Callithrix jacchus: one gene and its partner. The protein of the gene in region 2 interacts with the protein of the main gene of each other region in a biochemical or structural test. Links are inferred from orthologs where the notes say so. Each region holds a gene or a part of one and is shown on either strand. Other genes may lie near its edges.

The links.
Region 1: of the proteins of FBXL17 (region 2) and SUFU, one has a biochemical effect on the other in vitro, tested with the Homo sapiens proteins (2 studies listed by BioGRID, with this or other methods). The link is inferred for Callithrix jacchus from reciprocal best matches to the Homo sapiens genes FBXL17 and SUFU.

What each region holds. Positions count from the first base shown.
Region 1 is NC_133513.1:95,584,669-95,588,487, reverse strand, and holds part of SUFU (suppressor of fused homolog), read right to left. Parts: intron 2,816-3,819; coding exon 2,659-2,815; intron 248-2,658; coding exon 136-247; intron 1-135. UniProt on the Homo sapiens protein: Negative regulator in the hedgehog/smoothened signaling pathway. Down-regulates GLI1-mediated transactivation of target genes. Down-regulates GLI2-mediated transactivation of target genes. Part of a corepressor complex that acts on DNA-bound GLI1.
Region 2 is NC_133503.1:102,275,685-102,279,484, reverse strand, and holds the end of FBXL17 (F-box/LRR-repeat protein 17), read right to left. Parts: intron 3,460-3,800; coding exon 3,319-3,459; 3' UTR 658-3,318; downstream 1-657. UniProt on the Homo sapiens protein: Substrate-recognition component of the SCF(FBXL17) E3 ubiquitin ligase complex, a key component of a quality control pathway required to ensure functional dimerization of BTB domain-containing proteins (dimerization quality control, DQC).

The DNA of each region.
Region 1 (3,819 bases), on a different chromosome or scaffold from region 2:
GCTCTTAAGCCTAGAGACCCTGGGCCCATCCAGCAAGGGCTATGTACATTGTTCTCTCTCATGCAATCCACAGGGACAGGCCCTTCAGAACAAAACTGTCCTCTTGTTCCAGCCCTGGGACACTGGGGAACTTACGGGGCCCGGTCGTGGGCGAGGCCATTCTGCCGCTGAGGGTTGATTGGTGGAAGGACAGGTTTGCTGTTGATCTCGAGTCCTCTCCTCAAGGTCTCCCGGATCTGCTCTGTGTCTGCAACAACACCACTAAGTTGCCCAGTGGCCCAGTGGGGTCCCAGCAACTCCCACCCTGCTCTTGAAACCTGGCTTAGCAGAGGTACTAAGAAAAACTACCATGCTGGTCCTTTCTATGCATCCAGATGTGAGCGCTGAGTGACTACAGACTGTGAGGGGACAAGCATGTTCTTAAGAAGCTCTGGTTTGGAAGAGTGCCATTCTTGTAGAAGCCAGAATTCTAGAGTTCAGAAGGGTGGTCTCTCCCATCCTTTTCCTTCCTGTGTCACAGGCCTGAGGTTTACCTTTAACATGGTCAATCCCCAGTGGTCAGTCTCTGTGTGGAGAATGGATGCACGTTAAGGCCACAAGCACCCTGCCAAGAATGGGAAGCTGCCTCTCACATACCTTTCTGGGTTCTGGGTGGTCAACTAGCATCTGACCCTGCCACCCCTTCCCCTTGTACTCAAGTCAGTGAGATACTGAGATCATCTCTCACCTTGGCCTAACCCAGGAAACTCTGCCTCTCCATGGAGAGGCAAGGGCCAGGAGGTGAAAGAGTTCCCTTGGTGGGATTATTTCTTCACAAGGTGCTTTGCTGGTCTTTGGGGTGAAGCTTACTACTCTGGTCCCCTATACTGAGATTTGGATCTAAGATTTATCTCTGCAAATTGTAAACACATACAAAAAAGCAAATTAAAATTAGTTGCTCAAAGAGTGGCCTCAGACTGTGAAGGAGATGATTACTAACTTTTCTAAGTATTTAACTTGTTACAGTGAGATGGATTACTTCTATAATTTTTTTTAAAAAGCCAATAATGCTTGAAATCTTAGACAAGAGTATGACTATCTCTTTAAGTCACCTCTTTGGTCAAAAGCAACCAAATGATTCTAATAACTGTATACCCTCTCTTTAAGCCTCCAATAGGCTTGGCATACCATTAGAACAAACAGGAAGGAAAGAAAGGGCTCGGCCGGGTGTGGTGGCTCACATCTGTAACCCTAGCATTTTGGGAGGCTAAGGCAGGTGGATTGTTTTGAGCTCAGGAGTTTAAGACCAGCCTGGGCAACATGGCAAAACCCCAACTCTACAAAAAATACAAACATTAACCGGGCGTCGGTGGCGTATATCTGTAGTCCCAGCTACTTGGGACACTGAGGCTGGAGAATTGCTTCAGCCTGTGAAGTGGAGGTTGCAGTGAGCCAAGGTCAAGCCACTGTACTCCAGCCTGAGCAACAGAGACCCGTCTCAAAGAAAAAAAGAAAAAAAAAAGGGCTCAAATATTTGAACTAGGGGTTTAAGTTTGTTCTTTACAGAATGAACAAAAACCTTTTATAAGTATTATCATATGTTTATTTTATTTAGGGCTGTAGACATTCTTCAAAAAATAAAAGATGGGGCCAGGCGCAGTGGCTTACGCCTGTAATCCCAGCACTTTGGGAGGCCGAGGCGGGTGGATCACAAGGTCAAAAGATCGAGACCATCCTGGTCAACAAGGTGAAACCCTGTCTCCACTAAAAATACAAAAATTAGCTGGGCATGGTGGCGCGTGTCTGTAGTCCCAGCTACTCGGGAGGCTGAGGCAGGAGAATTGCTTGAACCCAGGAGGCGGAGGTTGCGGTGAGACAAGATCGCGCCATTGCACTCCAGCCTGGGTAACAAGAGCGAAACTCCGTCTCGAGGAAAAAAAAAAAAAAAAAAAGATGGAAGAATGAAGAAAGGAAGTAGACAAAGAAGCTGTCAACACATGTATATGTAAGTGGCTGCTTTTCCTTTGCAGTTATTTGGGGACGTCCTCTGCTAAAAACCACAACTGTTTCTGTAGCCAAGGTCAGCATAGGGAGATTCCAACAGGACAGCCACATCCTCCTTCCCCAAGACCCCATCCGGAACGCAGTGCAGAGGCCCTGCCCACATCGCCTAACCCTGTATCTGTATGACAGGAGGTGGGGCAATTTGCAAGCTGGCCTCATACTCACGCCTCTCTTGTCGAAGGCCTGGGAGGGCTCGAGGCCAGAGTGAGCCTTGGATCTGGCATGTCCTTCAGGCCAGAGCTGGGCCCTGTGTCAATTCCGTGGGTGGCCAACACTTGTTCTCTTGCACTTGGGTGGACTATGGACTTTTCCTGTAACTGTTCTAAGGCTTCCACTGACCTCTATGACCTCAGATTGCAAGGGGCAAATCTAAAATACAATGGTGCCTGCTGGTGATGCATTTGAAATACACACAGGAAACACAGCTAGAAATGGGCCAGTAAAGCTCCCTTAATTCCACTCTGCTGGAAGACTTTACTTGCTGTTTAAATCATGCCAGGAAATAAACCATTGAATGGGTTGTTTTTGTTAGAGACCCATCCTAGAGAGCCTGGAAACCAGGCCTGGGGAAAAGGAAGGAGAAAGGCTGGGAGAAGGCTGGGTGACGGCGCCCACCTTTGCCAGAGAGCCGCCGGGGCTGTGTGCCGATGCAGATGCTCCGGCTGTCCTCGTCATCCTCGGGGGGCCGGCTCAGGTCGTCCCAGGCACATTTGGCACTGACACCACTCAGGTTGGAGCCGTCTGTCTCAATGCCTTTGTCAACTCTCTCCTGCTTGAAAAGAGCCAAAGAGCCAGAGTTCTTTCAGAGAACTGGTGGCCCAAGGTCACCATCCTTTCAGCCACCATTCAGTATTTACTGAGCCCTTATGGTGCTGAACACAGGACAGATGCTGGAAGAGCAGGGTCTCTGACCTTGTTCTGCCCTGATTATCAATGCATAATAGTCTCTGCCAGCTCTTGGACTCCTCCAGGGGAACCAGGGATTAGGGGAAGCCAGGAGGAATCCAAATCCCAAGCAAAGCATCTCCTCTACTATCAACCTTCCAGTACAATGGCCTCTACCTGTTTCAGAGCCCCAAACCTGTCCCGCCAGACTGACTGGTAGAGCTGATGTGGCCATGAGAAAACCTACTCCTCTGAGGAGAGGTGTGATCCTTCCTCTTCTGCCAATCTTCCAGCCAGAACCTCCCAGTCACTGCTGTAGAAGACAGGGTGGAAGCCTGCCACAGGGAAGAGGCCGCTCCTGCAGTTTCTCCTTTAACAGCTAGAGGGTGTGGCCACACAAGGAAGAGCCACCGGAGAGCAGAAGGCTGGACTTCCCCCAGCTGCATTGGTTCCCTTGTTAGGCAAAGGACTGTGGATGGAGATTGCTTCCTATTTCTTAGACTGAAATGGGGGCCTGGGGTGGAGTGACTATCTGCAGATGCCCTTTTCACACCGAGACCCTGCCTTTGTGCAGGCCTTGGTATTGCTGAGTCCAAACACTCTCCAAATGGCCTCAAAGAAGAGCTGTACTCAACACATTCCTGGATTTTCTGGTCAATCAGTTCTGTGATGCTGAGCCTTGAATTAAAAGTCATCTGGAAGGCTCTATGCCCATGTGGACCAAGTAAAGCCTGTGACTGAGCACCTCAACAAGAATCTGTGCTTCCCGGCTCCATGGGTACCACACTGGCCTGTTGGTCAGCCTGGGAGCCCAACTGGGGGAAGCACAGATACTGTCCTTATTTTCTGGGACCATTCAGCAAGTGGCTCTGCCCCAGACACCTCCTTCCC
Region 2 (3,800 bases):
TGTGAAGGACTTGTTTACTTCCCCTTCTGCCACATTTTTTTTTTTTTTGAGATGGGGTCTCCCTCTGTTGCCCAGGCAGGAGTACAGTGGCAGAATCCAGCTCACTGCAACCTCCACCTCCCAGGTTCAAGTGATTCTCGTGTCTCAGCCTCCCATGTAGCTGGGACTACAGCGCCTGCCACTATGCCTGGCTAATTTTTGAATGTTTAGTAGAGACCAGTTTTTGCCATGTTGCCCAGGCTGGTATTGAACTCCTGAGTGAGGTGATCCACCTGCCTCAGCCTCCCAAAGTGCTGGGATTACAGTGAGCCACCGTACCTGGCCCCTCCATGATTTTTAAGTTTCCTGAGGGTTCCCCAGCTCTGCTGAACTGTGAGTCAATTAAACCTCTTTCTCAGTCTCAGGTATGTCCTTATAGCAGTGTGAGAACAGACTAATACACGCTTATTTAAATCCTTGAGGTTTTAATCTTCTCTGTATAGTCACCACCCCAATTAGAAACTCGAAAACTCAAGTCTCATTTATTATTTCTGGGTTAGTCAAACCTACAAAATTCTATAATGAAACATACAAAAACACAGACCACTGCATGCATCATACCCCACCAGCATTAGGGAGGTCATTTACTGTCTCCGAAATAAAACAAAAGACACAGTGTTCTGTTTCTCTTTTATTGCAACCCATTGCAAGGTCAAAGATTCACAGAAATATAGAAACTACAAACTGGGTGAATTTTCTTTATTCACTCAAAAAGACATTAAAGACAAAGGACCAGAATTTTCCATTACAGCAATATATTTCATAGTCTTTATTCTGAAAATACTGTTGACATTTTGGAGAGAATAAAAAGCCCTGCATTAAACGTGTTCACATGTATTTACGACATTCTAAGCAAAAAAAAGAAACTCTATATTGCCCAGAAAAATTATTTTAAGCCTCATTTCAAAGCATCTAATGAGAACACATTCAACAACCATCACAGGATCACTCAAGGTGATGCTTTTTTTCTGGCTGTTTTTTTTGAGATTAATGTTTTGAGGCTGGATATGGTATTTCTATGGATTTCTACAAATGTACCAAAGCAGTTTCCCAGATTATGTTGCATCAGGCTTTCTGGATTAGTCAACATTTTAGAGAATAAGTGCAAGTCCCCACCCCACCCCCACCCCCCAAGCTAAAGCATGTTATAGTGCTGTACTTCAGATTCAAACAATGCAACATTTTAAAAAATCAATTATACACTCTGAAACCATTTGACAATCAAACTGTAACACTCCAAAGATTATTACAACTTTGAACTGAAATGGTACCATCTATATCATAGATGGCTCTCCCTTCTTTTGTCTTTTTAACTATTTAAAATATAGTAAGACATATATAAAAATTAAACTTTTGCATATTCACTCAAGCTACTATTACTATACATACTGTCTTATAAATTAGTTTTGGATTAAAAATCAGTTAAAATACTGTGAAATAAGAGATTTCAGTGGTGGGGAAGTGAATATGAAAATGATATAGTTCAACGTGTAAGAAGAAATATAGTTTATTCATGTTAAACAGTTTTGTTCTTACACAGATTTTATTTCCTTCAAATTAAATTAGAAACCCATTTAGTTGTGGGAAAAATACTCATGGTGCTTACTGACTAGATTTTTCTAACTGATTGGGATTAAAACAAAAATGCCACATCAGAAACATGTTGACATAATCAAAGGAAACAGTTGATTACAAAAAAAAAGAGAATCATTGGAAATCAGTAAATGGCATTCAAATATAAAGCTATCTTTTGTTTTTTTTTAACAGCTAATGTCATGTTAGCAATGTGGGACTTAAAGAAAGTGAAACTCAAACCTCAGTATATCTGTTAAAGACCAAATAACAGTTACATTCACTCAGGGAAGAATAAATAGCAAATTCACAAGTCAGGGTTTAGTTTCTACTTCTACTGTGAAAGATAATCACTCTTTAGCTTAAAAAGGCTCCCTGATGTCCTCATTATAAATCTACACACAGGAACAGTTATTTGAGCCTGAGTCCCTATTATGAATTAATTGTAAAGATGTGTTAAATCAAAACACATATTCATTTACTGATAGGTCTCGTCTTAACTGAAGCTGGCAATCTTTAATTAAACAAAGAAATGCTTATTTCTGACAACTGTAAACAGAATTTCAATGAACAGATTTTCTAATTTTCCTTCTTAACTCATATATTAGCTAGCAATAAATCTCTGTAGTAGCATGAGAACTAGTCAAAAATGACAACATGCATATATCCAAAAATCCTGTCCCAAAACCCAAAGCAAAGCAAAAAAAGCGACAACAGTAGAAAGATTGTCTACTTATACCTCACTCATGAATCTTCTATTAATGTGACTACCCTCTCACATCTCAGAAATAGACTTTAATAATTACCAAAATTAGGAAAATAATGAAATGATGTGTAGTTTTTAAAGTAACTGCACACCATTAATTACACTGGTGGTTACAATGCTAAGATTAGCTTCAAATGTCATTAAAATATATCCTGACCAGTTACCATCCAGGAAATAAAAGCTAACGCAATGGTAACATAAAAGCAACTAAAATTTTTAGTGCTCAACAGAATGCATTTGTAGAATAATGAATAATTAACTTTTGTGAGCTGGCCAGGGGAATTCAGATTGTTGCCTCCATATAAAACATTTACAATAGGCTTTATTCTTTCTAGTCCCTAAGTCACCCAACAGATAGCAAGTTGGCCACCCGTGGATACATGAAGTTAGGCAGTGCCACAGTGGATAACATGCTCCCTTAGTGGCCTGGGGGAAGCCTTCTCTGTTAGGAAATGATCTAGAAAGACACCGCCCTGGTGCAGATGTACACACATATGTGAGTATGTGAGAGAGTGTAAGTGCCTGCATGTGTAACATCACTTCTGTTGTAGTCATCATCAGTAGAAGTGCACAATTCATCCCACATAAAAAAAGGCCTTCTTATTTGGACAGCTCCAAGTGGCAGCAATTAGAAGCTCAAAATAATACATCCATTTTTTTGACTCTATTAAAAACCTTTTTTTTTAAGAGAAAGAAGCCTTTGAAGTTAAAACTAAAAGGTTTGTGGCTTTCATAATCTTTAATTTCTAAGAAAAAAAAAGCCAGCTCACTTGGGAACAAATGACAACTGCACTTTTGGTATGCAGCAAGACACAAATACACATACTTGAACGCACACAGACAGGTGACAGTTAAAACCCTTCTGAGAGATCGGCCCCACAAATGTACAATTCTCCTTTGCTCTGCTGAATGATCCCAGTGGACTAGGTGGGGCAGGAGCATTAGGAGGAGGCGGCAGACATGTTGGGGGTCCAGCCCATCTGATAGGCTCTCTCCAAGGTCCTCTTGCAGTCTTGCAGGACAGTGCTGAAGGTGATGTGGGGATACTGTTGCACCAGCTGTTCCACTGTCACTTCATTGACCTGCAAACAAAGAAGAGCCATATCACACACAGGGACTACCAACACCACCCGCTGCCCACGCTCACTGGTGTGCTGCAGCCAGCTCACTGTGGCATGAGGAGCCCTCGCCTTGTTCCTCCTAGTGATGTGAAGGAGGGTTTTGTGAGAAGGTACGTGTCTCCTTTCATCTGACCTCTCTGATCTTCCGGTAAAACACTTGCCCTTAGGGATTTTTAAAATACATAATACCAAGATATCAAAAGTGTTCTCTAGAGGCATAAATGACTGATTTGTCAAGATCTTAACAATGTCAATTGAAAATCTAGTGCTTGGGAGGGAAAGAAGCAGTAAGACAGCTTTCT